5 linked regions of the Oryzias latipes genome follow. The protein of the gene in region 1 purifies or fractionates together with the protein of each later gene. This does not show direct contact. Links are inferred from orthologs where the notes say so. Each region holds a gene or a part of one and is shown on either strand. Other genes may lie near its edges.

Region 1 (6,547 bases):
CCTCCAGACTGTGTAAGGGCTATTTGACCTGGAAGGAGAGTGATGGGGGGGCTGCGCCAGATGACCTGGCCTCCACAGTCACCGACCTGAACCCAATCCAGATGGTTTGGGGTGAGCTGGACCGCAGAGTGAAGGCAAAAGGGCCAACAAGTGCTAAGCATTCTGGGAACTCCTTCAAGACTGTTGGAAGACCATTTCAGGTGACTACCTCTAGAAGGTCATCCAGAGAATGCCAAGAGTGAGCAAAGCAGTCATCAAAGCAAAAGGTGGCTACTATGAAGAACCTACAATATGACATATTTTCAGTTGTTTGAGACTTTTTTGTTATGTATATAATTCCAGATGAGTTAATCCACAGTTTTGATGCCTTCAGTGTGAATCTACAATTTTCATAGTCATGAAAATAAAGAAAACTCTTTGAATGAGAAGGCTTTTGAATGAGTGTCCAAACTTTTGGTCTGTTCTGTAGTTTCAACATTTCCTGCCATTTAGCCCATTCACCCCAGTTAGGTTGGGGCTGTGAGGGGCGATAAGCTAGCGGGAGAGAATGAAAACAGATGAATGATGGGAAAAAGGGGCAGGCTTACTCCACGCCAACAGTCCCGTCCCCAACCCAGAGGTTATTTACTCTGATTACGTGTATTATAATGTTGATTTCTCATGAAAAGAACCCCAGATCAGTATTTGATCCATTCACACATTCCTCCTCTAACCCTGCCCGGCTGAAATACTTTCATTTATGTGAACAACATGCACATCCATCTCTGCAGAAGTTTGGATGTTAGTTTTCGTGACACTGCCAAGGCCGGCTGTAAGATGACGTCAGGAAATGGGCGGTACCCACGCAGAGAAAAAGAGATCGAGTCATCTTACTTCCGTTTGGAAAACAGCTCAGAAAAATAACTAATATTTAATAAATAATGCATTCTTTTGTGTGCCATACGAGATATATTATCAGATATTATACATGGATATTGTTTCCTCTAAAAGGCTTGAGAATAGCAAATGCCCTTAAATGAAATGAAGACTTTCAGAAGGACAAGTCCTCATCTTTCAAAAAAAGTTTTATTTACAATAAAGAGCGAGGATCCATCCATCTGTTTACAACAGGAGAAAAGCCAGCCGTGTCATCATTTCACATCCGTGAAAACCGACCCAGAGATGGCGCTCTGAAGCAGGACGGCCTCCCAGTGCATGAAGAAATTCTAATGAAATCAAATATGGCGTCAGAGAGAGAAAAACAACACGTCTTCCTGACTGACAGGCAGGAGCAGAGTGGCGTTAAACATTCTGCTCCACGCTGCTGCAGCATCTTCACTCGGAGAACAGAGTCCTGCTGCACTTCCTGGTCTTTTTTAGCCTAAACCTGACTTAAAGTCAATTTAAAGTTGATCATTTGATTTTCTTGAAATAAAACAAGGGGGTGAGAAACGGTTTAGTCCAAAACATCGGCCGCCCAGCCGTTTGTTGCTGACAGTTCAGGACTCCCTCAATCTTCCCCCAGACGAAAGCCCTGCCCCCAGTTGTGTCGGCCCCCCGCCCCTCCGCCAGCGGGGTCCTGGGCAGCTGGTCGTCTGCTGGGGGGAGCTCCGAAGCCCGACACGCCTCCTCTCCTGTTGGGGAAGAACCGATACCTGGAAAAAAAGAGAGCGCTGTCAGATGTACCTCTAAAAACCTGCACCAGCCGCTCCCACCCAGGACAACGAGCGGGTCCTCCCATTCATTTGTACCAGAGTGAGGAACAGCCCCCCCCCCCCCGGAAGAGTCTGGGCTGCAAGGCTAACACACACTTTCTCCACTGAGCTTCAGCAAAACTCTTTCATTTGTAATGCACATCATCATCCATCTTTGGAAACGTTTGGATGCGGTTGTGCCGGCGTGTGACATCAGAACCACGTTGGTGTGTAAGAAAACGCCAACTTCTGTCGCTTTAAAACTTACAAGAACTCCGGCGTCGACAGAAAAGAGCGTCCCCCTAGATCCATGGGGTATTTGAACATGAGGAAGAAGAAGAGGTGGCCCACCAGGTTTCCCGTCAGTTCGTTCATAAAACTGCAGACAGGGACACATAAGGGGGAGGGGTTGGAGGGGTCCTGCTGGAACACAGCACTCTACACTTCAGAGGGACATCTTTACTCACGAGCCTCCAATAATGAAGTTGAAGGCCAGGATGACCCAGGGTAGATAATAGGCCTGAAAGAGAGCAGTGATGGTTGTTTATCGCCTTCATCACGGTTTGTTGTCACTGTGATCATGAAAGCATCTTCTCGACCCACCCACCTTAAACCGCGTTCCAAACCAGAAGGAAACAATGGTGTCTTTGTTGAACTGAGCCCAGACGTACAGAACCGACATGATGAGCGGGATCATGAGCAGCTGAAACAAGACGTGAAACGCGGTCAGAACCTCTGAACACGCCATGCAGACGTGACAGAAACATCATGCCAGCTGCAGAGGATCCTCACCTGCATGTTCATGAGCAACCCAGTTATCTGCAGAAGCAGTCAAGAAAAACAAGTTCATCTGGATAAAACATGCTGTAAGCCTCACTCTGACTCTAAAAGCTCAACACAAATTCAGAAAATGACCAGCAGAACCAAACAGAAAGTTTGATAAAAGCCCAAGACATCAGTAAATATAGGAGCTGTGAGCAGCACTGAGCTTCTGCATGTGACCTCTGTTCTGCAGGGTGGACTGACACCGGTCTGCTGGCACAGGGCCACCTTGACAGAGGAAGAGGAGCCGGGTCCAGGAACGAAGGACGAAGGAGAGGCAGGCGGTGCCGCTGAGTGAAGCAGGGGCGGACGGAGCCGTAGGTTGTAATTTATGACTCAGCTTTGAATGGTGGTCAAAGGATACAACAATGCAGATCCAGTTGAAGAGAAGCATGAACACGTAGTCTGCAGGTCTGCCATCAAAGGCCCCTACCACGGAAAAGGACATGATTAATGATGAGGACGTAGGAAAAGGAAAACAGCAAAGCAGAAAGCTCACCTGTCTCCAGCCGAGTGGAGTAATGATAAAGGAAGTACAGGTTAACAAGGTAAAGAAAGCCGGTATTGGGGGTTATTGGAAAATAAAAGGTGGCTGTGATCGGTCTCCAGATCTGAAACATAAAGCAGAAGGGATTTTAAGTATATAGGTTTGCTGCAGCACTTGTGAGTTCACTTCATTTTAACCAAGCAGGACAGTACAGCTCCTGAAGAACAACCTAGAACTACACCTAGAGAAGCCAGAACCCTGACTCCACTTCTCTAAAGTCTGATGGGGCTTCACAACACTGCATCGTACTCTGATGTGCTGCTTTTAGCTGCTTGGCCATGAAAACTTGAAGCCCACATGAGGTTTGGAGGTCTGTAGGGCTGAAAAACGTTGGTGACCTCTGGGCACTAAAGGTCTCAGCATTCACACAGACATGAAAGTCAATGAATTAAACTGTTTGGATGGGTAGGTGAATACTTTTGGCAACGTTACCCATGTTTGTGTGTTTCTGAGAATCTTTTTTGCCTTAAACAAAAGAGCCTCTAAGCAATTTTGAAAGTTAATGCTAGTTTAAAAGACACAGGAAAAGCTTAATTAAAAGAATTGGCGGTAAATTTTGTTTTAGCCAAAAATAAAACTACCAAAAAATGTATTCTTACATACTTTGTACATTTGAAAAACAAATTTGAAAGAGCAGATTTGGTTATTTTGCCGTGAACAGTATCTAATATTACATTTAGATATCTTCTCTTTTCTTAACATCTGAATAAATTTGTTTTAAACTGCTTTAAAAAAAACTTAAAGCCAACAGAAACAGTTATTTGAACTTACCTGAGATGTTAAAGTCCTTTATTTTGAAATTTTGTCTCTCTCTAGTGGAGTATGTCAGTATTGCATTCAAATAAATAACTTTTACGGTACCAAATGCGACACTAAACTGTTGATTGTCACTTGAACAGAAAACAAAACCTACTTATTTGCATTTATAATTTATAAAAATGTTTGCCGTTTGTTCATTCCGTATTCAGAGCACTATTTCCGGAAGATCTCCCCTCCAACGTCGCGGCCTCTGATTGGCTGCGCTCTAATGGAGGCCTGCGCCTGTTAGCCATCTGCTAACTAACTGACATCCAAAACACAGTAAAACGCCCTTTGAAACACAAAATTAACGAAGTAATACAACAACGCGTGCAAAGGGATCCATTTGACGAAACACTTACATGGAATCTGCTGAAAACCAGCTCTGGGAAGAGTAAGAGGTTTCTGAAATCGATCAAGCCTAGCTTCCCGATAAAAGGAACAGCTATGGAAGCAGCAAACCAAGACCGGGTGATGAACGGGATGCTCCTGAACCAGTCCCCGATGTCCGACATCCTTCCATAAGACTTCTGATGACTTCAAGTTCTGAAAAAAGCTTTCTCACTGGGGAATTTTAATAACTAACTTAAAAACGACGAGGCTGCTGTCTTACACCACAACCCATCCACTGCTAAGTTTACATGACGTGGCTAAGCACCGGTAGCAACTCTTACGTGAGAGACCCTCACTTCCGCCGTGACCTTTCAAAATAAAATCTCAACGGACATACATATTGCTTTTGTGAAAATGCATTTGAAATTTTTCAAATGCATGTTCTTAATAATTATGCAGCCAAAATAACAACAACAATTCGATTTAAAATGGTCCGTCAACTTACAAGGGGAAAGGTTTATTTTAATCTTGTTTTTGAAAGTATCTGGTCATGTCTTGGCCAGATTTTGTCTTGCAGACAAAGATAAACTTATAAATATTCAAAACTTTTTTTTAAAGTAGGCCTTGTAAAGGTTGAACCACCAATAACAAGTGTTTAGTTGAAAGCAGTATTTTTCATTTTTACTTTTAAGATTTCAGCTCTTACTGTGAAATTTGCATATTTCCAGTGTGGCCCCTGAAGGCCCGTACACACCGGGACGAATATTCGCCAGGCGTTATTCGGCAGCGTTTTTCACCACGTTTTTTGTGTTCACACCCAGGCGATTTTCGCTGACGATGAGCCGAGCGAACATGCAATTTCCTTCCCTGACATTAGATGGCGCTTAATTTAAACAGAAATACTCCTGTACACAAGGTGGCGCTGCGCTTCTTAAAGTCGCTTTTCACTCAGAAGAAGAGAGCAAGTATTTACGCGCTAGTCAGAATAATAAAAAGAAAACATGAATATTTCAAGCACCAGTAGCTCCAACTGGTGCTTGGTTCGGGGATATTTTAGAATGTCCGTCATTATTTCTTCGCGGCAGTGTAGACGCTACTTGGCGTCTATCTTCTTCGCTGGTATGTGTGCTCAGCAAGGCAGTTTTGTGTTTGAGCGCCCCCAAGTTGTGTTTTACTGTAACTTCAGAAGCTCCAGACACGAGTGCAAAAGCGCCATTTTCATTGGTCGAATAGATTTCGACGCGACGCGTCGAAAAAAACAAACAAACCCGAGGCGTTTTTTTTTTTGACGCTTTGACGCGTGGCGTTTTTTCGCGTCGGTGTGCACACTCTCACTGGTGCCCTTTGTTTAGTCACGAGGCGTTAAACGTGGGCGAAAATCGCCGGCGAAATTCGTCCCGGTGTGAACGGGCCTTTAGGCTGCAAAAACTGAGCAGACGTTCTAACTTTGCATTTTTAAAGTTTCACCCACCAACAGCCATCCGTGTGCTGTGACAGTCCACAAAAAGAAAGAAAAATGAAATCAAGAACTAGAAATGATTATTTTCCTTCATTTATTCATTTCATTCTTGTTTCATTGTTTATCTTGTTTCATCATTCCATTGTCATTGTATTATTTTTTACCTTGACATTGTGAATGGTGGTTGGGCCTTCTTGGATGGTGGTGGAAGGTGCTCTAGTAATGAATAAATTGATAATGATGAGTCAAACAAACAGTTTTCCTGCTGCAGTGTCACTTTTAAAACTCTTGGGCCATTTTTTTAACCCAATTCTCGGGTTATGCATGTTGGGATATATCATTGGGTTCTTTGAGAGCAATATTAAATTTTTTGGTTATAGTGGTTACATATTAACCCAATTTATGAATTATTTTCTTTGTTTTTCCAAGGTTAAAATAACCCAGAATCCATCCGGTTTATCTATGAGGACCACAGGAGATGACTGTGATGGCTCTATGACAGTGTTTTTCAACCAGTGTGCCGCGGCACACTAGTGTGCCGTGGGAGATGGTCAAGTGTGCCGTGTGAAATTGCCCTCATTAACTGATCTAAAAACATTTCCCATCTCCAGGATTCCAGCTCTGTGTTCATCCAAACAGGCCCTGATAAAACACTGAGGAGTTAGGAATATAAAAGATCGTAAAATACTTTTTCTTTGTGTTTATTTTATTTTATTAAAGACATTTTGATAAGAATGACGGCAGCGCGATTCAGCTGCAGCTCCGGCTGTATTTAGGAAAAGTCCCGCCCCTTTACCTGTCTCCACCAATCATTCTTGAAGGCTTAATCACATGTCATCAGTCTGACCAATCAGAAGTGGTTAAAGTCTTCACTTCCTTGTCCCGATTTAGCTCGTAAAGTCGCTCAGTTCTAAC
Region 2 (6,756 bases), on another chromosome or scaffold:
CTCGTAGAGGTCCAAAGACCACATACTGAATCATTTTTGCAATTAGCATCAAGGAGCAGCAGAATGTATTCACCAACACCTAGGAAATGGTATAAAGTAACAGTGAGTTTTGGTAGATGCACTCGTTATATTAGTAGGAGTGTAACCATTAATCAATTCATTGATGAATATTCCTATGATTCAACCAGATCCTTCTGTCAGAGGGAAGTTATGAATCATATCAACTTATAGTTTTTTAAAATCATTTCAGAATGAAATTAATTGATTACAATCGGTATTGGAAAATACCATTTGGATTAAGACACGGTAGGTTTATTTTACTAAAACGTAAAACCGATAAAGTGCATCACAGCGGACAACACACACAATGACAGCAAAAAATGATCAAGTCATCATTACAGTCCAATGTGTGGAAAAACTTGGAATTTTGCAAAGATATGTGACCATAGAGTGTGCTAGACTGTTTTAATAATGTTCAGTTTGGATTATTTTCATGTGGGAAAACAACAGTGGGCTGAACTTCATGAAACTAAAATTGCCATTGGATCTTGTTTTCTTGTATGTTTGTACACATATTTAATGTACAATTTCTGGTGTAACTTCCCCTGTACCATTCAGTACCCAGGTATTCATCTCTGAGTCACACTGGTTGAATTTTTGCCTAAAGATGTCCTAGCAGGTACTGCAAAGGGTGTCACTGTGCATGACGTTTGTACTGTGGCCGAGAGGTGTAAGACACATTTACATTTAAGATACAACAACAACAAATCCCGGTACAAACAAAGAAATACTGAAACACAACATCAAATCACGAAATACAACACCAAATCATGGAACAAATTACTGAGTCCTGAAACACAACAGCTGATCCGGGGGGAAATGACCAAATACAGAATTACAAAAAACAACCCTGTTACAATTGACCAAATCCAGAAACACAACAACAAAAGCAGGTCACGGCTTCTAACAGAAAAGACATAATATAAAACCAATTGACTATGATTTTTTTAAAGTTATTTATTACTGTTTTCTTTATGTGGACATTTTAATTACACGAAACATTCCAAAAGCATTTTTTAAATTGTGTTACTACAATACAAAATAAAAAAATGTTTAGTAAGGTAAAGTTTTTGCGTCACATCTGGTAGTAATGGTATTCCCTTTCCGTTGGCAGCTGCTCGCTTTCGTTCATTTTTTTCTCCTTCTTCTGAAGTCGTGTTTTGCACTAGTGCAAGCTTAATGGAAAGGGAATACCATTATTACCGGAAGTGCAGCAAAAACTTTACCTTGCTAACACATTGTTGTAATTTGTATTGTAGTAATAAAATTTAAAAAAATGCTTTTGGATTGTTTCATGTATTGAAAATGTCCACTTTAAAAAAAACAGTGATAAAGAAATGTAAAAAATCATACATAATTAGTTATGTATTACGTCACTTCCGGGATTCAGGATGTTAGAAGCCGTTTCTCCACTTTCCTTGTTGTGTTTCTGCATTTGTTCGTTTGTACCGAGATTGTTTTTTTGATTTGGTATTTGGTAATTTATACCCGGATTTGCTTTTGGGTTTCAGGACTCTGTAATTTCTTCAGTGATTTGCTTTTGTGTTTCAGTATTTGTTCATTTGTTCCAAAATTGTTTTTAGTGCTTCATGATTTGTTTGTTTGTTCCAGGATTTGTTAATGGTTGTATCTCAAATGTAAATGTGTCTTGCAGCTCTCGGCCATCATATGTTTGCGCATGTTTGCTTCACCGTTGAAGAACTTTGTTTCCGCGTTGGAAAATGTACAGCGATGAAATACCCTTCACTGTGTGTACTGGGATAGCTTATACTTTGATTTTGATTTGAAACAAGGTAGAGTGGACTTAGCGGACATTTGTGAGAAAATGGCAGCTTTCTCATGGCTTTGGATCATGAGTCATGGATAGTGAAAAGGCACAAGATAAATTAGGTCCCAAAAACCACCCGCCAACACATCATCAAGGAACCTTGATGAACCGCGCGAGGTTCGTCGTTGCGGACCCAAGTCTCACAAGTCGCATCGTGACAAACAATGTTAAAGAGCGCGGTAACAAACGGTCACAGGTTCAAGTCCCTAATACAGAATAATAAACCGCACTCAGCAGAGGTAAAGTATGCAATAGTATACATTGAATGATCTTCTGAAAAATATTCAACATTGCTGAATCCCTTGAATAATGTCCTGTGACAGATTGATGGTGTTTAGAGCACAGATAGAGAAGCTGTGGCATCGAAAGAGACATTAAAAAAAAAAAAAAACTTGATATATCTATACATGATTACCGGGTTTTCCCATTGTTTTCCGCAAAACAAAGGTGATCAGCAAGACGTAATATAATAATAACTTAATTTGAGGTCTATTGGGCCATTTCATTTATTTCTGTGTTCAGAATTGGAAGCTCTACCATTTGTGGTCACCAACTTTCGTCACTGGACCTTAGAAAATTGTGGCTTGTGTTCCCTAGTCCTCGACTCATTTTAGGTCAGTGAATCGAATCATATCAGACCATTAAAAATGAATCAATATTGAGTATTAAGAAACCACAAATTAGGATATGAATCAGACCATTGTTAAAATGAATTGTCACACCCCTACATTAGTCTAACGTTTTAAAGTGAGTGAAACTTACCCACACAAACAGACTGTCGGTCACAAGATACCACAGGATCGTTGTTGCCAGTTCTGAGTTACTGACAGCATTGCTTAGGTGTTCAAGATCGACGTGGGAGGGAGCAGGTGTATCGTCCGGTTCCAAGGCCCCAAAGCCGGGGTCTGTCACCGTAGGGTAGGCACTGAAGATGCTCCCAGCGAGTAAAGCCACACTCAATACTGTGTAAGTCTGCAAACTGGGCCACGGAAACCTCTCCAGAAACATTAGAGGCATTGCAGTGGGTGCAGTAGTCTTCAACGAAAAAAGGAAGAAAAAAAAGTCTGTTAACAAACAACACACATCTGGATTAGCCAATGTTGGCCTGACTTTAAACAGCTAAACAGATTATGTAATCAATGGGGTTTGCAATTTGAGGGCGATACCAATTCACCAATACTGGCAAGTTTAAAATAATAATCATTAGTAAAATTATATGAATATAAAATCTAAAGCAATAAAATGCTAATACAGACTAACGCAGGAAGTGGCTAACCCCCATAAGCTTCTTTAATTAAAAAAAATATATCAAGTTCGTTCGGTTTTTTGTCTTTGGGTGTATTTTAATAAATAATCAAACCAAAAATATTCAAATAGAATAATTAAAGTGAGTTAACATGTCCAGTGTTAGTAATTCACCTAGCTAACGTTACCTAATACTAGCTAGTTTGTTAGCCAATCTTTGCTGCGAAGCTAAAACCAATCGCCGAACTGCGGCTTTGTGTCTAGACTCCACTTACAGTTCCTTACAGACAACGTTTGACCCAATATCCCGGGTAATGTCCTAATCACTGGACCGAGTTTTAGTGCAGCTGCACGAAGAAGATCATAGAGGACGACAACATCGTCATGTTTACGCCACCGAGCAGAGCGACAGGCTGAACGGCTGACTCGCGAGCTGCTTCTTCTTGGTTGCGCAGGGAAACTACGTCATCGTGGCTGTTTAAAGGCATCGCCATTCAAATCATATTTCACACGATTTCACACGATTTCGCTGCTACCTACTCACTTCACACACTTAAAATATCATTTACCTTTGCTGCTATCAGCTGCACGAATCCACTTGTAATGTGTTATTTAAAATGTGCTATAAACCACGAAGACAGGAACGGGTAGTTTCTAGAACAAAGAAGAAAAGTCGCGACTCATTCGGGAGAGCAGGAGACGTCGTTTCTTTGGAAATTCACCCCTAATGACAGCAGGGTAGACGTTTATGCATGTAATGATGAGACCAATCAGATTAGATAGATTTTTTTCAAAGTAATAAATATGTATTTATACATAAAAACTCACTTCACAATGTTAGGAAATTAGTGTTTGGTAGATAATTCGATATAACACCAGCCCTTTAAAAAATGATCATATATTAGAACCATACATTTGTATTTTTAAAAAGTTTTTTTTTTTTTATGGGCAGCAGAGCAGATTGAGTTGCATCAATAAAGAATTTGCCCAATTTTTTAAACCAATGACACACGTCTTAAATGTATGACGTCATTGCCTCAGTTTTACATTTGTGAAACCTTCAGGTGGCCTTTACTGTAATTGAATACGTTTGGAATGCTAGCTTTGGTTATTGCAGCTGATGTCCTTTTTGATTCCTTGATGTTTTGTTTTGACAATTTGAAGGATCAGCTTGGGGCTGTTGTAGTACCAGCACAACCAGGCTGCCAGCCCATGGTAGACTAATGTGATGGCATCCCAAAGCAGTGTGTGACCAGAAGAGGTCCAAGGCTATTGTGGATGTGTTTAGCTCTTCCACATATTATAAACCCAATAACCCACAGACAGCGTAATCACTATTTCCAGCTAAAAAAAAAGTACGTTTAGAGTCAAAGTAGTTTAATTCATGGCGTCAATGGGGTTTGTCAATATAAAAATAAATTGCCAAATTGCTCATATTTTTTGTTTATTCAAACTTCAAACACTCAAAGATTTAATTTTAGAATAATGTTTTTGGTGCTGGGAGAGAAGATTTTGCACATTTATCACAAGTTTATTATAAAGTAACTCAATTTAAAAGGATAGTAAATAAAATTTAACACAGTAAGTTTTTTTTTTTAAGATGCATTATAACAATACATCCTGTAACAAACACATTTCCTTTTTTTCCTTTTACAATAAAAATAAATAAAACTATCTACCTAAACAGAAATTCGTGCATACGAATACAAACTTCAGAGTCAGGTAATATCTATTAATATTGAACAAACTGTGTAATAAAACAAACGTACCAATTGTTGAGTGAAGAAGAAGAAAAAAAGCTGTTTTATAATAAAGTCATGACAGAATTCCAGGTACCGATTGCTTTCATGTTCCAGCTTTCACTCTTCATTAACATATATTTTATATTAATATTTATTTATATATTTTGTAAAATCAAAAATTAGGAACTAGATCATGATGAAGGGTAACGACAGATAAGATAGAATAAACTTGAAACTTCATAGCCAGATGTTAATTATTAGCTACTCTAAAAGAGGACAGAAATGAAGTTGCAGTCCAAAGTTAACATTTATGGGAGTGTTGTAACAGATTCAAATTCAGAAAAAAAAAAGAAGTTACTTTGCTTTGGATTTTCTTTCATCCCTGAGCTGGACTTTTGGTGAAGTGTAACTTCAGGTAATCTGTTTTCTTCTACTTGAGTGTTTCTAGATCTGTCAGTGCCATGGGAGATTGCACTTTCACTCACATTTCAGCTTTTTTGCTATTGATCGGCACATCTCACGGGACACGGTGATCAAAGAAAAAGCACTGTATGTTCTCGTTGCCTTGAAAAATCAACGATTTTATACATTCTAAGTTATGATTATGAAACAAGTTAGTGAGATATAAGCATAGACAAAGTCATAATATGGATGTCTTTTCCTCCTTTTCTTTTTCAGCTTTTGCCTGGAATCCTGAATCAGTGGCCAAAACCAGCAGTCTCCTTCTCAAGATCTGGATCTTCATTTAACAGCAATCATTTCTGTTAGATAAGAGACATTTTTTCCCCACAGGATGTGGTTGGTACAACAACAAAAAAACAGGAGAAAAAAAACAAGAAAAAATATGTCTAAGCAATTTTACTAAAACACACAACATTGCAAATGCAACAACAGTAGCCATGTGATAATTGGGTCCTTGAAAATACATGGTTTCTGTTCAGTTTTCACAAAAAGGGAAGTGGAGTATTGTTTTTGGAGACGTTTAAATCATTTCTTAGTCAGACAGAAGAGAACGTTAGAAGTAGAATTCATTTTTGGAGGATGAATCCCTTCACTGTGGAATCCCCCACAGAGGCTCCTGAGGAGTATGGCACCGGGACTGCACTGGCATGCGTCATTCTGGGCCTGTCTTTTTTGATCGGAGTTCCAGGAAACCTGTTTGTGATTTGGACCATCCTGAGATCCATGAAGAAGCGTTCACACACGGTGATGCTCATCTTGCATCTTGCTGTTGCAGACACCGTGGTCCTCATCACCCTGCCTCTGTGGATTTACTCCATGGCGCACACCTGGGAGTTTGGAGAAGGAACCTGCAAAGCTTTGGTGTACTTCATCAGTACCTGCATGTACAGCAGCATCTTCTTCATCACTCTAATGAGTGTGGAACGTTTTGTAGCGATTTCTCATCCATTTGTAATGCTGCGCTGGGGGAGCAAAGGTTCTATGAACACATTTCTTCTATTTTTGTGGCTCCTTGCCTTTTCTCTTGGAACGCCAGCCATCCTGACCCAAACTTTAAACGAAGCTGGTGGAGTTACCCAGTGTTTTTCTAGAGAGTTCAGCACTGATACCCAAGCAATCATCATCGTGTGCCTGGAGACACTAGCAGGATTTGTACTTCCTTTAATCATTCTTTCCATCTGTAGCTGTCATGTCAGCATGAAAATCAAGAAACTGAGTTTTAATTCAAAGCCAAAGTCAGTGGTTCTTATTCACGCTGTGCTGATTGCTTTCATATTGTGTTGGTTGCCTCACCATATTATCAACATCATTACTGTCATTTCCCTGGTGATATCAGACACTGAACAGGAATACGTCCCTGAGTATCTTGTCTTAAGCTCTGGTGCTCTTGTTTTCATTAGCAGCTCGGTAAATCCCATG
Region 3 (6,674 bases), on another chromosome or scaffold:
ACCGTCATTCTTATCAAAATGTCTTTAATAGAATCAAATAAACACAAAGAAAAAAGTATTTTATGATCGTTTATATTCCTAACTACTCAGTGTTTTATCAGGACCTGTTTGGATGAACAAAGAGCTGATTTCCTGGAGAGGGGAAATGTTTTTAGATCAGTAAATGAAGGCAATTTTCCACGGCACACTTGACCATCTCCCACGGCACACTAGTGTGCCGCGGCACACTGGTTGAAAAACACTGCTCTAGACCAGCGGTCCCCAACCTTTATTGCGCCACGGACCGGTTCGATGTCTGGCAAAATTCTCACGGACCGGTTTGTTATATGTGGCGGACACACGCTGCAGCAACGCTGCAATAAAGGCAGAGACACGTGATAAGACGTACTCTGCCCTTTCATTTTGACACGCTAAACATTGTACATCGCACAGGTGTCATCATCCTCTCCCCTTCCCACACTCATGGTGCTAAAAAGAAGTAAACACAACAGGAAGAAATAACTAAGGGTGGAACAACGTAACTGCCAGATGAAAGGACACGTAGGCAAAAAGAAACATCCGTGCTTAACCCTATTTTGACCAAAGCAGGCAAAGGGGATTGATTTAATTCCCTGTGATGCCAGCTCCGACAGTAACCCCTGCACCCTGAGGAACTCCGACAGCAGACCAAACGATCACATGACGGACACTACAGTACAACAAAGTAATATGATATGACCTGCATGAAAACTGTGGTATTTTCTAAACATAACAATAAACACGAATTATGACGTGAGCAACGTCCTCTCTGCCCGCAACACTCCCTGGTCGCTATTATTATAACAAAAATAAGTGCATGGAAAATCCGACTCACCACAACAATGCTGAATGGTTGGAGGGAATCTCCCGTTGGGATAAATCCGTATATAAAGTAGGACTCCTGATACTGTCTAATAAATGTAGCTTTCTTTTTTTGGAAATGGAAGGCTCCTCTTCTGTCTCCTGGCTGGGCCTTTTCCACTTGGCAAAGAAACTTTCCAAAGATGTTTGTTTTTTATTCATTTTGGTTAAGAGTAAAATAAAATAAAAAAACCCAGGATCTAGCAAAATGAGTAAAAAAAAAACATTACTGGAAAGTTTCTTTGCCAAAGGGAAAAGGCCCAGCCAGGAGACAGAAGAGGAGCCTTCCACTTCCAACAAAAGAAAGCTACATTACAGACAGTACTTCTTTTTGCACCATGAGTGAGGGAAGGGGAGAGGATGATGACACCTGTGCGATGCACAATGACATGCATGTCAAAATAAAAGCTCAATGATCATCTTGTCCTTTTTCATCGTTGCTACATCTTAAAGACTCCGTGAAAATGTTGTCTGACGTCATACCGGTCCGTGGGTTAAGTTGAAAACTGCTGCTCTAGAGTGTGTGTGTGGGTGTGTGTGTGTGTGTGTGTCAGCAATGGTCAGACAGACTGATCTAACTAATGTCTAATCTAGCGTCCAAAATGTTTGCACAGACTTAAGTAGGTATTTAAATGGTCTATAAAACGTCCCAGAAGGACTGTATGACAGTGTTATGATGGTTTTAGAGCAGCTGATAACGGAATTTGACCAATCACAATCAACAAATTGTACAGACAGAAAGTGCTGGAAGAAATTTGAGGACAAAACGTTCCTTGTTTTTTTGCTGTATGTCACCTTTGTTCTGAATCAATAATAAAAAAAAATTGAGGACAAAGCCATGGGGGCCGGTGGGAATTTCAAAGTGGGCGCATTTGGCCCACGGGCCGGACTTTGGACATGCGTGGTTATAAAACGGAGGCGCCTCTCTGCTTACCGGCGCTCCTGGGCCATCGCGTCCGGGCTCAGACTCTGCTTCTTCTGGACTGTCGGCCTCGCCGGGTTCGGGCAGGTCGGCTTTGCAGAGGCCGTAGTCTTTACACCTCCGGAGGAAGTCCAGAAAGAGCTCCCTGGCGGAGCAGAGGTGCTGCAGCCGCCGGGCACGGTCGCTCAGCTTCAGCTGCAGCGCTCCGAGCAGCGCGGGCAGCAGCAGGAACCTGAGGTCGGCCGTGGCCACTTCCTCCAGGTCCTCGTTGCGGCTGAAGAGCTCCAGCTGCGCCACCATGGCCGCCGCCTCCTCCAGCGCGCTGACACCGCGCCTCACCCGGGCCTGCACGCTGCTGGAGTTGAGGGGCTCGTTCGTGTTGTCCACCTCCTCGTAGATCTTCCAACCGAGCTCCAACAGCTCCGGCAGCTTTAGATTCTTCGAATCTGGGTCCACTGGAGGTCCGGCTACGCTGCTGGGCCCGCTGTCCGCCATCTTTGAGCGTCCTCTTCTCTGACGTCTGATTGCTTTGGCGGGAAGGACCAATCACTGTCCAGGGCCGCACCGCGCACAATTGTGACGTCAACCGTTTGTTTGTTTGTTTACTGCTTTACAACAGCTGACCTGCAGGGGGCGGGAGTGCGTCTCCTGTTTACCGGCAGAGGAAGAGGGGCAGGATGCGGAAGCGCCGGTAGGCGTTCTCGGACCCGGATGTTCTGGTCCAGTTCGATCATGGAAAGCCCAGAACTGTCCTTCACGCTGGCTTACGTGGTCCTCGCGTTCTGCTTCGTCTTCACCCCGAACGAGTTCCGCGCGGCCGGGCTCACGGTCCAGAACGTGTTTGCGTCATGGCTCGGGAGCGAGGACGTCGGCTTCATCCAGTACCACGTAAAGAGGACGAGCGTGACCGCGCTTGTGCACTCAGCACTGCCTCTGGGTCAGTCTCTCTCTCAAACACACTCATGACCAGAAACGCGTGAATCACACACACATGCACTTTGTAAAGGACTCCTAGAGCTTAAAGAAACCCGTCTTATCTTGAACTTGGAGTCTGAACTAGCAAAGCAGAACCTTCAGAACCTTTCCTCTGTTCTCCTGTTCTCTGCAGACAAAGATGGTCAGAACTTCAGGTCACTTCTCTGCGCTTTGGTGTCTTCTTTTGGGCACAAGCACAATAAACCTCCCCTTCACTGAATCTACTTTTTGTTTCTATTCTCCCCCCTCCTCACAGGCCTCTCATGATGTTCCTGCTGTCTTCTCTGCAGGTTATTACCTGGGCATGTGTGTGGCAGCTCCAGAGAAGAACCTGGCGCTCATCCATCAGGTTGGTTCTGATTCCACGCCTTTGCTTCACATGTCACTTGACTGAGACTGGGCTGCTCCCTGCTGCTGCAGAGGTTCTGTTCTGATGGTTCTGATGGAGTTGTGGGGGTCCCCGCAGGTGAGCGGCAGCTGGAGGATCTTCCTGTTGCTCTCTCTGTGCCTGCACTTCCTCAGCTTGGCGTTGGTCATCTACTGGTCCCGCCGTCACTGGCACAACCACCCCATCAGCCGGGCGCTGCAGGCCCATGCGCGTGCCCCCAACTCCAGATGGGGCGCCATGGCAAGTAGCATCAACACAGAGTTCAGGCGGATAGACAAGTTTGCCACTGGCGTTCCTGGAGCCAGCGTCATCGTGACGGACAGCTGGGTGTTGAAGGTGAGCGCTCCACTTCAGGTCTGCAGAGCCGCGTGCTGAAAGCATGGAGCTCTGGAGGACTTCTCGTGAAGAAGAAAGCTTGGAAAGCTGCAGTCACGCTGAGTTCTGGTTGGATATTTTGTTTAGTTTGTCCTCTTCATCCAGCCCTTTGATTTGCACATTTGGTGGTTACATCTTCTTCAGCTGAGTTCCAATGAGAAAGAAACATTAATCATTGGTCCAGAGAAGAAGATCCCTCTGATCAGACAACACAGTGATTCTCTTGGCTCGTCTGTCCAGTCCAGCATCTGGATGCAGAAGTTTATTTTAAAACATTTGAGCTCCTTCAACAAACCGTCTTGTGCTCTTAGATCCTGAGGTTGTCCCTCTAAAAAGTTCTCGAATCTCAGTGCATCAAATGCTCCAAGTGATGGCTCCTAAACCCTGGAATGCACTGCCTCTGTCCTGTCTAACTGAGGCTTTTAAAATCCACCTAAAGAGGACTTTATTTCAGCAGGAATGGCATTTTTCTATTGATGAAATTTCCCAATTCTATATTTCATCTTTTAAACAAATGATATGTTCATTCGACTTGTATTGTTAAGCACTTTGGGATTTTTTTCAGATACGCTTGATATACTCAGACTGGTGGTCTCTGACCTGTATTAACACACGGATGGTTCACGGTTCTGCTTTTTCTCCAGGTGACCACCTACCACGTCCATGTGGCCCTGCAGAGCGAGTGTCATGTGACCGTGACGCAGTCCAGACGGCACCAACTGAGTCCTGATTCTGGCTCCCCTGTGGAGATCCTGACCCTGAGGGTGGACAGCATCAACCCTGCTGTCAAAGCCTTCACCATCAGGTACAGCTGGGTGCTCAAACCCTGATCTCAGGTCAGCTGGTCGTGGTGGATCTGCAGAGGCTGCACTCTGCAGGCTGCAGCTGATTGTTTCAGTGGTTGAAAGTAATAAGCAGGAGAACGGATGCACAAAAGAAGAAAGGAAAACCAGCTTGGTTGGTTTATACAAACTTTTAACTGCCCGAAATGCAAAAAAACACAAAAGTTTTTCAGAATGATGTCCTTGTTTCCACAGTATAACAAAAGTCTGATCCTTTATTTTATATTTATTTTCCATCAATACCTGATATGTGACTTTATCCACTTTGAAAACAGATGAACAATTTTAAAGATTCACTCTGTTTTTGACATGTTTTTGTAGCGTTTGTCTGAAAATTGAATACACTAACATTAACCCTACATATCTTTGTGTTTCTTGATTCAAATTATTGTGAATCAGGAACAGACCCCCACAGAGCCCCCACCCTTTACCCTGTCACTTCAACCTCCTCCCCTCAACAAGACGAATCAGAGCAGAGGACATAAGAGTCTCTGAGATTGAAGGGCATGGTTCATTTTTGGCCCCAAGCCCTGGTTGAGGTTCTGAGCTAGTCCACCAGGGTTTGTTTTGTCTGCAGCTGAGCAGGGAACCTCAGAGGGAGGCTCTGCTTCGCCATGGCCACTTTCAGCTCAAAGTTCTTCCTCTTGACAGAGCAGGAGCAAACAGTTCAAGTCCCTTTTGTGTTCTCAGGGTCAACTCCTCTGATTATGCAGACTTCAGGGAGAAGCTCCATGCTCCTATCAGAGTTTCTCCCAATGTGGTGATTCACCAAACTATAAGTGAGCTCTTCCTGGAGACCTTCAGAGCTCAGGTGGAACTTAACCAGGTCTACAGGCTTCCAGCAGGACAGGTATGCAGGTATAAAAAAAAAAGGCTCTAGGTGAACGCTAGAACTGTGAGTGACACCTGTTCTCTTTGATCTTTAGGAGCTGGAATCCTGCATCGGCTGCATGCAGGTTCCTGCCGGAATCAAATTGGTCAGGCTGTGCCAGACTGCAGGTGAGTGCATGCACCAGTGTGCCTGTGCAGTTAAAACCAGAGCCCAGAATGCTTCTGTGATCATATTGACCAGTAGATGACCTTGGCGTGTACTTGTACAGCGCTTTCTAGCTTCCCCACAGTCTCAAAGCGCTTTACAGTCACAAACCCATTGGCTCATTCACACACATTCACACTCTGGTGGCGCCTCCACTGCCGAACACTGGCCCCAACCTTCCACCAGAGGCAAGGTGGGGTTCACTGTCTTGCCCAGGGACACTTCCACACATGGAAGGGCGGGACTCGAACCTGCAATCCGCTGCACCACGGCCGTCCCCGTATGGAACCCGTATGGGCTCTGCTTCTATTCACTGGGAATTTGAATCCTGGACCAGAACTACGGTTGTAGCTGTGCTGTAGTCCTGGTTCTGGACCTTTGGGGCAGGGTTGGTCCTGGCAGTCAGTGCCTGTGACACTGTGTGACTGTGTTTTTTAATGCATTTCAGGACCGGATCAGGAGGTCGAGTGCCAGCAGTGCTTCTGCAGGCCCATGTGGTGCCTGATGTGTTTGGGCCGGTGGTTCGCCAGCCGCCAAGACCAGCAGAGACCCGAGACCTGGCTGTCCAGCAAAGTCCCCTGCCCAACCTGTAGATCCAAGTTCTGCATTCTGGACATTTGTATGGTCCATTAATAGCTGAACCTGTCACTCAGGGGAGTGGATCGGGCCCGTTCTGATGATGGTCCAAGTGACGTGAATCTGTTTTTGGAGTTTGAGCTTCAACTGCCGCATTCTGACAAAGACAATTAGAACTTCCTGACCGCTGTGGTACCACTGTGACTTAGCTTGTACGATTCTGATCTTCTCCATCAGTGAGTTTCTGGACTGACCGACCTGAAGGAACTAAAATGTTCAGGAACTCTTTGGACTGGAGGTTCCGACCCGAGCATTGTGAGGATTCTCCATCCAGAGTCGTGCATGTGAGCACAAAGACTGCAATTGTAATTTATGACTTCAGAACCTGACAATTGGATCAAGTTCTGATCCAAACAGGCTGATTACCCCTTCTCAGACAGGTTCCTTTGTCACGTACAGCTCCATCAGAACCAGAGCTGCTGCCATCAGCGCTTATAAGGCTGTCAGGTTGATGTGCACTCTGATGTGTGCACACAGGTTAAGTCCTGTTATGGAGCGTTACACATGACACACATATGATTTTAACACTTAAAGCCAAAGCATCCTTTGGGAATGACCCCCATTTCTCTAAACAGTAATTTCAAATGAATATGAACATTTGTCTGTCCTATAGAGGATTTC
Region 4 (4,847 bases), on another chromosome or scaffold:
ATTTTTGCATTTTAACCACAATAAGTAAATAAAACAACTTTTCATTTAGGTGATCTTCTCGAAATTGCCCACACATCAGGCCAGGGTTATGTCAAAAATGCAGTTTTGTGGACCGCCATCTTGAATATTAAAAAAAACAAAAAACAAAGACCTGTAGTTCCAGCTACAAGTTCAGGGATCTTCTGACTCCTCGAGCATCATTTCGAAGCTACTGTCAGATTTAAATCGTTGGCTCAAGCTGAACGAAACTAAAAGACCTGCGACATGAACATAAATAAGGAATGGAATAAGGGCGTGGGTAACAAAACACCTCTGTTGCCAAGGAAACTCAAAACTATACTTTTGCCGATTCTTCTAAATGTGACAAAGACCCGTTCGTCATTACCAGGGGACCAAAAGAATTAATGGTTGCTATGGAGATAAAACAAACAGAAAATCTGCCATTTATTTTTTTCAACGAAGAAGGGGAGGGGCGGGGTGTAGCAGCTGCTCAGACGGGGTCAAAGGGGACAGCGTGCGGGTCACACAACGCCGCTCAACACCCTTTTTTGCTCATTCCTTAGTCCTGACCTGTTTTTTTTATTTAATGCATTTTCAGAATAAAAGTATTTTTTTAAATATAACATTTTTATAAGGACTAAAGTATCAGACAAAAAGAAATCCTTTCTCAGACAAACGTCCTCTTCTTTTCCTTCAGGCGTTTTGGCCTTCTTCTTTTTTTCTGGACGCATTCAAGCTCCAGGCAACTCGTTCAGCTCCCAAAACCTCAACTACTACTGGATGCCAATTATTGTAAGACACTAAATGTTCATTTCAGATTCCGATTACTTTTTTTTTTTTCCTAAACAAAATTACAATAACTCCATTTTCCTGGTTGTTCCTCAGACGGTGGTGTTCGGGAGCTACCTGGTAGCTCACGGCTTCTTCAGCGTCTACAGCATGTGTGTCGACACGCTCTTCCTCTGCTTCCGTAAGGTTTTCCTTTTTTCCGTGACGTTTCTCTGTCGATTCACATGGTTAACAAGTTCTGTGGCTCTTCCAGTGGAGGACCTGGAGCGTAACGATGGATCCATCCAGAAGCCTTACTATATGTCCAAAAGCCTCATGAAGATTCTCAATAAATCCAACAAGGCCGCCAAATAGAAGAGACGACAGAAGAACTGAAGGTCACGATAAAACACAGAAACCACTTTTTATGGAAGATTTTGTAGCTTTTACCTTTTTAACACTAGTCTACTGTAAAGATGTTGAAATGGATTTGCTAATTTTGCACATTTCGTCTTGTTGCATGTGCATCAATATTCTTGTAAACGTGAAAAAAATAATTTCATTAGAGAAAAAAACTTTTTTTTTTAAATATTCACTGAAATTTAACTGAGATAAATATAACAGATATAGACTGACATGTAATCAAAGCTTTAGCAGCTCAGTTTTGTTAAAAAATTTAGTTTTTTAATATATTTTTAAAAATGTAATTTATAAAAGGTTTACATGTTTCATTTGGAAATTTGTGAATAAAGTTTTAATTCTTAAAGCTTTATTGTTCTGACTGCAGCACCATACTGTTTTTGCATTTCTTCTTTCTTACTGTACGTCTGACCAAAAATGTCGCCCCCGTCCCAAACTCAAAAACCAAAATTTGTACACAACTCTGACCCAGAGAGATGAGTTTGGGACAAGGTAACCTTCCTCGAAAAAACGATAACATCACAGCATGAGGATCAGAAACATAACCTGAATGGGCAAAAATCTCTCAAAAATGTTTTAAGATCCACTAATGAAACCAAAACACGTGTTGGAGATGTTCAAAGGGAGTTTTGACATTATTATGGGATGGGTACTGGGCCTACGGCAATGCTGCCTTTTTGTGGCAATGCGTGAACAAGTTTACATTTTATGGACAACTAAAAAGTAAAATAGTTGCTATGGAGATAAAACAAACAAAAGTCACTATTTAAAAAAAAGGCTTTTTTTAAAATTCCGAATGGCAGGTTTAAAAGGGGGACGTCGGGCAGCTCCTGCTTGCTGTTTCATCAAATTTCAATTGTGTTTTGTGATCAAACGTTTGGAAAAAAAAAGACAAAATGACTTTGGTTAATTCAAGTTTTAATCTGAGACCATTGGGTTTTGTACAACAGTCCTTAAGCCAACACGGTAATTTAGCGTCACGTTAAACCACTTTCCTATCAAACGCAGCTAAACCCATCAGAAACATCAGAGTCCAAGCAGATTGTTTGTGTCCGTCCCGCAGCGGGACATGAAATGAAAAGTGTTTTCAGTCCAACTTCCAGGTGAAAGATCTCCAGATCTGCACATTTCAGGGACGATGAGTCTGGACGGTGGAGCTGCAGGGTCCCCTGGAGGCATTCATGGAGAACAATGGAAGATCTGACTAAAACATCTGGTTTTCAAAGCACGACTAGAGTCACAAACATCTAAGGACTTCATGGGCTGGTTTGGTCTGTAGATGGCAGTCAGCACTCAGAGCAATGGCATCTAGAGAGGAAACCAGCAAATAGTCCATTCCTGGCTACGCATGTGACCCACATCCCCTTTGAATGAGCAGGAATTCACCTTTAGAGTGAAAGGCAGTCAAACTTTTAATCTTTCATCAGAATTTACAGGTTAGACATTTAAGTACCCGAGTAACACGTATGACGAGAGTATTCCAGGAAGTAGACAGTTTGAACACTTCACAGTCGCACATCTTCTCCAGGGCTCTCCCATCCAGTCACAGCATGTACAATATTTATATATACAAATATATACTGTATGCACACATACGCACTCACAAAAATCCACAAGTGTTTCGCAATCCTGTAGCTTTGGAAAAGGGGGCGGTGCCGGTCGAGCGAGCCGTCACTCAAATCTCGGAAATATCTATAGTGGTTTCTGAGGATTCTCTCTGCCGGTCGTGGCGTTCTGGCCAAGTCGGTTATGCAATTCGTGGGAGGCGAAGCTCTGACTTTTAGTTAGTCTGAAGAGGAAGGTCGGCTCCGCCTTCAGGGCGGCTCCGCCTTCAGGCGACCTCCACCAGGAGAAACGGGTTAAGACAAATGTTTGGAGGAGGCTCCCATGGAGACTGAACAGGAACTTGGCTGCACTCCTAACCCCCCACCCCCCATGGCCAATCCACATCTGCCCACAGAGCCCCCCCCTCCTCTAAATAAAGAGGAGTTGGTAATCTGATGAATGAAGTGACCTCATCCATCTGATCATTCGGATTATGTAATACTGAATCTGAACGCCAAACCCAAACATTTCCACTTCCTAAAATGTTTTGTGAGCCCAGACGACCGCCACGACCGATTTCTGGGGTTCCACGTCGCCAGGCATAAAAAAAACGACGAGCAGGCGGGGGCTTGTGCTGCGGCGACGTGACTACGGGAGGAGGAACCTGTCCAGGTGTGTGTGTGTGTGTTCATGTGTGTTGCTGCACTCCTCCCTCCCCGTTTCCGATTTCGGTAAAACCACCTCCTCTCCAGGTCAGTCACACGCTCAGCAGCCAGAAGAAGAAGAAGATGGCCACGAACAGGAAGAGCGAGTCCTGCCAGCTGTTGTTGCCGTTCCCGTTACCTTGGTGATCACCTGCATACTGGTCTAAAGGTAAACAAGAAAGAAAAGACTTTCAAATTGAAGTAGTGAGTTTAAAAAAAATCTAAATTTGGATTTATTTTAGGCAAGAAAAATTCCACATTTAATGTAATGAATCCCCAAACTTTTTCAGACATTTCTGCAGACCGTCCTGTACGAGGCCGACATGGGCGTCTGATTTGAGTTTTTTTGTTTCTCTGAACTTTTGAGACAGAAGTTTATCTTCATTCTCTGTAAAATATTGATTTGTTCACTTGATTTCCTGTAGGAACCATTAAAATGTGAAATAAAGTTTAAGCCGTGACCATAAAAGCAGAAGACGCCAACTTCAGCCTCTTCTGACTTTTAAGATGAGACGGAAAAATACAAAAAACAATCGTGAAAACTGGATTTTTAAAAAAATATAATCTTAACGAGAATCCACTGTTTGAAGAACTTTATTAGCAGCATCCTTATAACATTAGACAGCTGGTTGACGATTATTCTGCATTATTATTATGGTCTGTGGGACCAACTGTCACAATAAATCCATATTTGGAGTAAAGACTCCTTCCTGGTTGTTGTCTGTTGAAAGCAGATTTATTTTATTTTGAAGGGGAAGGCTCTTCAGTTTCCTCTCTGGATCTTTCCACATAACTTTCTTTTTCGTTAACTTTGCTAGCTTGAAGGTTTTAATTTAGCAGTCGGTGCGGCCGCTTTAACAAAGTAGCTGATGCATTTTCGACATGAGACAGAGAGACTGGTGGAGAGAAACTGGTCGTTTTTCAAAATAAAACTTCCTTCAGAATCAGATTCGAAATAAAACTGGATAAAAGGTTGGTTGTGGTTTTTTTTTCCTCTTTGATTAGGGGACCGCTGTGTACCTGCTCTGTGGAAGGGGTCGTTGGCGTTGAAGACTGTCGTGAAAAAGCCGAAGGGGAAAGCGCCGATGCCAAACGACATGTGGAAACCGGTATCCCCGAAGCCCTGGAACATCTGAGCGCAAAGACAAACCCGACAGTCAAAAGCTACAACAGCTGGAGGAACATCTGACCTGAAATTATGAAGGAAAGTCATGTGAAGGAACATTTAGAGGCTGCTTTAGGTTTTGCGTCACACGTTTGTGGGGATTTTGTGGTTAAAAGGGTATTTTCGTGTTGCATAAAAGGTAAAAATCTGAGAGGGGAGTACAAACGGAAAAAGTCTTTTCAGAGGAAGGCGTGGGAAAGCGCAGACTCACCCCGCCTCTGCTCTCCGGCTCCGTCCTCTGCCCC
Region 5 (4,935 bases), on another chromosome or scaffold:
AATCTGGTGGGAAACATATTTAACGGTGCACAATATGCATGCTTGTCGACCAGATCCCAACTGATTTTTAGCTTTAGTTTGCTTTGGGTTCTGGGGGTTTGGATCTTACCGCTCAGCTGAATAACTGCCATGCATTGTACTGCACACATTTGTAATAGAACTGAATGACTACAAGATTTTATTGTGCTGACTTCATTTTATAAAGAGGGGGAAATAAAAGAAAAAAAAATATTCTTGAATCCAGAAATTCTTACATACGTTGTGTTACTGTTCTTGCCCTGACGACTGAAAATGACATGCTCTGAAAAACTACTGTAGTTGATCCAAAAGCCATAGTGAAAAGGTGCTAGATGTTCTGCTTTTAGGTATGGAAATCTCACTTGCGTGAATGCAATAGTTTGCCATGGATCTCATGTATTCTTGAAGCATGTTATATCAATACCCCTAAACAATGTCAGTGAAAATCAATATAGTTTAAGGGATTTAAGAGAAAAAAAATGAAGAAAAAAAAACAGGAAAAAAAGTGTTGTTATACTTATTTCAGTGTAGTACTGTACCTGCCTATCAGGCTCTTGCTCTGAGTGTATCAATATCTTAAAATGTATTGTTCACATATAGATACCTTAATTCATGTTAATGTTAGCACTATTCTTTTGGAATAAATATTTGACAATGTCCAGCTACCCTGTTAAATATAAAGAACTTTCCATTAAGGCCTAGTTAATGAGCTAATTTTTGCGTGGAAAATGAAAATAGAGTCTTGTAGTCTTTCTGTTAAGACTTAATAAAATCACCGTTTGTGTGGTGCAAAACTTTTCCAATAAGCAGCTAAAGGTTTATTTAGGATTGGTGATTGACTGCGCTGTAGATGCCATTTCTTGTTTACCAATGAGTTCCTTTCACTGTGGTGGGACGGTGGTTTTATCGTGGACTCTCCTCGGCCTTCAGGGGTCCTCGCCTGAACACCAGACTAACCCCCCGCCCACCCACCCAGCAGAGCCAGGGGCATGTGTTCTGTGTTAGACTGATTTTTTTTTTTTTTTTTTTTTTTGCTTTGGTACTTGCACATTTAAAGTTACCTCATATGTTTTTTTTCTTTTCTCAATGTATTGGGGGTGGGGTGGGGGGGAGAAAACAACTAATATATATTATATATAGGAAATGGTTCTTTGTTATCATTTTTTCATTCCATCGGAATCATTGTTTGTAGCATTTAACATAACTGGTTAGTGTATTATATATACATCTGTATACTGTTTGAAATTTTTAAGATTTGTACTTTTTTTAAATTAAAGTTGCTAGTTATGCTTTACCAAGTAGTGCAATCATATTTTTTTTAATTATTGTGGCTGATTTGAGAGGGTTGTTCACTAATAAATGTATGATGTATACCAATACCGCTCGTGTCATTTGACTTTGCCCTCATCTAAACGACATATTACACACACACAAAAATCTGAATCATAACCAAGCTTTTTTTTTGTTTAAATGTTTAATTTATATTTGGAAAAGTACAACTTTACAAGAGCCCATTCAGATGTTACAGGCAAAACAGGCATCTATGAGAAACCACAGGCACACTATGGGCAGACTTGAACTATACTAGATAAAGCCACATGGAAAAACTGTGGCTTTTGTGTTAAATATTTTACGTTAGAACTTCTTGAGCTTGAGGCAGTCTGCTTTATAGTGACAAACCTGCGTTTTGGTCATTTTATGACACAGAAGTCAAAAATAAAATAAGGTCAATTTGGAAACTTTAAATACATAACTTATGTACAGGTAATGGCTCATTGAAACAGGGTTCCCAAATCTTTAAATCGTGTCCACCGTCCTCCTGGAAGAGTTTCTTTCATCATAAAAATCGTTTACTTAAATGTTTCTTAATCAACAATAATAAATGGAAACTTTGGACAAAAAGGTGTCAATGTGGATGAACAGAAACAACTTTCATTTAACCATTGAAATGTATGCGATGCAGCAGCCTGTTAATGAGGAATAACACATGGTGGCTCATGGGAGTTGGCTCTGCTGCTACTTCAGCAGCTGATTAGTTCAATGCTGCAACACTGAATGAGAAGGAAGAACAAGAGTTAACCGGTATCTAGTACGGATGATAAAGAAGCTTTCTGCACAGAAACAAAGATGAGCTCGGGTAAGGACTTCCAAGAGATATATTTATTTGAAAAAATTCAAGACTTTCCAGGCTATTGGGAACCCTGTCAACCAAACAAGCACTGAATGCAGGGGTGGTTCAACTCTCCAGGTCAAGCTCAATGATCCCTTATGCATAATGGCCATTTAACACAATATGAAAAAGAGGAGGGGAGGAAGATGAGTGGCTGTCAGAGGAGAAATCGGTTTCCACAGAGGGAGGTGGTACCATCTATCAATCGTCCGTAAGGTCTTGAACAAAAAGTACCTCCGAGCGGCTGAGCCCAGCCTCTTTTAGTGAGGGGGGGTTGGGTTGTTCTTCAGTGGGGAGGCAGGGCAAGACTCGACGAGGGAAGTTTGTGACTATCTGAAACTTCTCTGGCGTTTCTTTCAAAGAGAACAGGAAGTCGTGTATTACCTGTGGAAGATAAATCAGTCAATCATAGATGCATCAGCGTACGTGTAAGGTGCTTCTGGAAAAACATTATTTATTGGGGAAAAACTCAATGCTTTTTAGAGTTTTACTTAAGCTATCTCTAACATAACTTTGTTTAAAACCTTTTTAAAAATCAAAGTTAGTTAAACCAAAGAAGAAAATCTTAATGCATTTTAGAATTCACCAAACAGAAATCTGATTTCAACCGTTACTGACCGTCAGAGATTGGCCAAACAGGAATCGCCGTTCCACCCGTGTGTCATTGGGCAGCTTGAACACTATTTTGACACTTTCTGGATCATCTGCAGGAGGCTCCAATGGAAGACATTCAGACTTCCTCTCCTTCTCCTCCTCCAGGTTCTGAAATCCAAAAGCGTGCCATTTAATTGAGAACGTTTTACATGGCGAGAACATTGTTCTTATCTAAAGAAAGCAATAGTCACCCTCCGTCTCCGCTCCTCAGCAAGAGCACTCTGCCGGACCTTCTCTTCCTCTTGCCTTCGCTGCTCCAGCTCCTCCCTTTTCTTTCTCTCCTTTTCCTGGTCGGCACGGAGGGAGACGAGATAAGCCTCGTCTTGCTGCTGCCTCAAAACTTGGGTCTGGTTTCTCTCCTCACTATAAACCAAAATATTTATTTAAGTTAATTAATAAAATTAATTAAAAATTAATTAAATTAATTAAATTAATTAATTAAAAATTAATATGTGTTGTTTATTATCCCAGTAAATGCTTATTAAACACGGAGTATATAGGTATTTAAAGCAACGATAAGACCATTATAAAACGACTTTGATGATGATTTGAACGTGATGTCTAACTCACAAGAGGAGAGACCTGGCTTCAGACACGATGCCACCTGACACCATCAGCCAGGAGCAGAAATTATACAACTTACTCTAACCCAAAAGTGTTCAGAAATGTGTTAAAAAAGAGAAAAAGAACTTATATAAAACCATAAAAAACAAAAACCATAACTGTTGCAGTCCCCCTATATCGAGCGATATGCGGGGACTTATGGGTCTAGTTAAGGACCACCTGACCCTCTTTGTTAACTTTTTGCACAGAAACTGAATGAAAAATCTCACATTTTCTCTAATTCTCAAATTTTCTTTTTCATATCGTGTTAAATGAAAATGAATTTCACAGTACACGTCTATTTTGGTAGCATTAACCGATACCATGTGGTGGTTTTAACCCAGAAGATCTACACCACAACTTTCTATAATAAAAGCAACCATTTCTTTTAGAACATTGAGCTTCAACAGAAACGTCATCCAACTCTCTATAAATGTCCATGTTGCAACTAAAACGTCATCTCAACTCCAACTGTTGTTTAGTGGCTGTGCATTAGTGTGCAGTGCCTGTCTGCACCGCTTTGACTCACATGAGCATCACACATTTTACAATGAGTTTAATGTGCTTAATGCACATTAAATAAAATAAGAAAAAGGCTTTAACCCACATATTTGTTTCAGATCGTTGATACACTAGTGATCAATTTAATTTTTAAGATCAAATATAAACAAAATCGATTTCCTGTTAAGATATTAAAAAAGATCCCGTTTCACACACCGTTCAAGGCGCTCTGACATCAGATATGTTTGGTTGGCATCCATGATGAAGGTGAGCTGATTGATGAAGTCTTCTGGCTGAATGAGACCCTCCAGTCTGCCCACCACAGTCATCCTGCGGTCCTTGAGCATGATCATGGCCAGGAATGGATAGGTGTTCTCCCGCAAAGCTTGGGACACTTCAACCACAACATTCAAACCAGACACTCAAGTACTTTTGTTGGAGCAGAAGCGGGATGCTACTAATTCATAATAAAACATTTTCCTTTTGGATATATTTGTGCCACTCCAAGGTCTGAGTTAAATGGCTATGCAGATTTAATAAGCTATATTTTTTTATAAATTAAAAATATTTAAGATAAAAAGCAGCATCTTTGAAATTATTATATAAAACAGTACCTTTAGAAACATTATTTTACAACACCAGAGTAAAAATTACTTTGTACTAAAATATGAATGTCAATGATGCAGATTTCCTTATTAAAAATAACCCTGTCTTGGTAATTAAATATGGATAAATTGCATTAGAAAGAACCTTATTTTATCAAACATGAACTTGATGTTCAGAACAACGAGTGACATTTTACAAAAGTATTTGACTGACGGCATAAAAAGGACAAACCTCTGTAGCCTTCAGGCTTGCTGGTTGAACATGCCCAAAACAGCATTTGTGTGTTGAGGAAGGTTATGACTTCTTCTGTACATAACGTCGAACTAAAAAGGGAAACAGTAGATAACAAAACAAATACTTCTTTAGTCTGGATATATTATCCC

What was found.
Region 2: the proteins of derl1 (region 1) and amfr purify together in Homo sapiens (affinity purification with western blotting; 4 studies listed by BioGRID, with this or other methods). This does not show direct contact. The link is inferred for Oryzias latipes from reciprocal best matches to the Homo sapiens genes DERL1 and AMFR.
Region 3: the proteins of derl1 (region 1) and tmem129 purify together in Homo sapiens (affinity purification with western blotting; 3 studies listed by BioGRID). This does not show direct contact. The link is inferred for Oryzias latipes from reciprocal best matches to the Homo sapiens genes DERL1 and TMEM129.
Region 4: the proteins of derl1 (region 1) and rnf5 purify together in Homo sapiens (affinity purification with western blotting; 4 studies listed by BioGRID and IntAct, with this or other methods). This does not show direct contact. The link is inferred for Oryzias latipes from reciprocal best matches to the Homo sapiens genes DERL1 and RNF5.
Region 5: the proteins of derl1 (region 1) and faf2 purify together in Homo sapiens (affinity purification with western blotting; 4 studies listed by BioGRID and IntAct, with this or other methods). This does not show direct contact. The link is inferred for Oryzias latipes from reciprocal best matches to the Homo sapiens genes DERL1 and FAF2.

Annotation. Positions count from the first base shown.
Region 1 is NC_019874.2:1,273,424-1,279,970, reverse strand, and holds derl1 (derlin-1), read right to left. Parts: upstream 4,540-6,547; 5' UTR 4,356-4,539; coding exon 4,203-4,355; intron 3,107-4,202; coding exon 2,995-3,106; intron 2,925-2,994; coding exon 2,860-2,924; intron 2,493-2,859; coding exon 2,466-2,492; intron 2,377-2,465; coding exon 2,281-2,376; intron 2,194-2,280; coding exon 2,141-2,193; intron 2,053-2,140; coding exon 1,942-2,052; intron 1,635-1,941; coding exon 1,490-1,634; 3' UTR 1,047-1,489; downstream 1-1,046. UniProt on the Homo sapiens protein: Functional component of endoplasmic reticulum-associated degradation (ERAD) for misfolded lumenal proteins. Forms homotetramers which encircle a large channel traversing the endoplasmic reticulum (ER) membrane.
Region 2 is NC_019861.2:26,263,318-26,270,073, forward strand, and holds the start of amfr (E3 ubiquitin-protein ligase AMFR), read right to left. Parts: upstream 3,584-6,756; 5' UTR 3,409-3,583; intron 2,924-3,408; 5' UTR 2,906-2,923; coding exon 2,651-2,905; intron 80-2,650; coding exon 1-79. Other genes in the region: leukotriene B4 receptor 1, read left to right, coding at 5,917-6,756. UniProt on the Homo sapiens protein: E3 ubiquitin-protein ligase that mediates the polyubiquitination of lysine and cysteine residues on target proteins, such as CD3D, CYP3A4, CFTR, INSIG1, SOAT2/ACAT2 and APOB for proteasomal degradation.
Region 3 is NC_019868.2:4,545,138-4,551,811, reverse strand, and holds the start of tmem129 (E3 ubiquitin-protein ligase TM129), read left to right. Parts: upstream 1-2,482; 5' UTR 2,483-2,512; coding exon 2,513-2,738; intron 2,739-3,066; coding exon 3,067-3,125; intron 3,126-3,242; coding exon 3,243-3,500; intron 3,501-4,183; coding exon 4,184-4,344; intron 4,345-5,071; coding exon 5,072-5,231; intron 5,232-5,307; coding exon 5,308-5,380; intron 5,381-5,865; coding exon 5,866-6,050; 3' UTR 6,051-6,674. Other genes in the region: igbp1 (immunoglobulin-binding protein 1), read right to left, coding at 1,814-2,296.
Region 4 is NC_019869.2:5,398,020-5,402,866, reverse strand, and holds the end of rnf5 (E3 ubiquitin-protein ligase RNF5), read right to left. Parts: coding exon 4,814-4,847; intron 4,570-4,813; coding exon 4,458-4,569; intron 3,601-4,457; coding exon 3,491-3,600; 3' UTR 2,090-3,490; downstream 1-2,089. Other genes in the region: slc44a4 (choline transporter-like protein 4), read left to right, coding at 698-792, 886-970, 1,043-1,143. UniProt on the Homo sapiens protein: Membrane-bound E3 ubiquitin-protein ligase that mediates ubiquitination of target proteins. May function together with E2 ubiquitin-conjugating enzymes UBE2D1/UBCH5A and UBE2D2/UBC4.
Region 5 is NC_019868.2:20,361,535-20,366,469, forward strand, and holds the end of faf2 (FAS-associated factor 2), read right to left. Parts: intron 4,876-4,935; coding exon 4,784-4,875; intron 4,341-4,783; coding exon 4,163-4,340; intron 3,206-4,162; coding exon 3,034-3,205; intron 2,951-3,033; coding exon 2,807-2,950; intron 2,573-2,806; coding exon 2,390-2,572; 3' UTR 1,474-2,389; downstream 1-1,473. UniProt on the Homo sapiens protein: Plays an important role in endoplasmic reticulum-associated degradation (ERAD) that mediates ubiquitin-dependent degradation of misfolded endoplasmic reticulum proteins.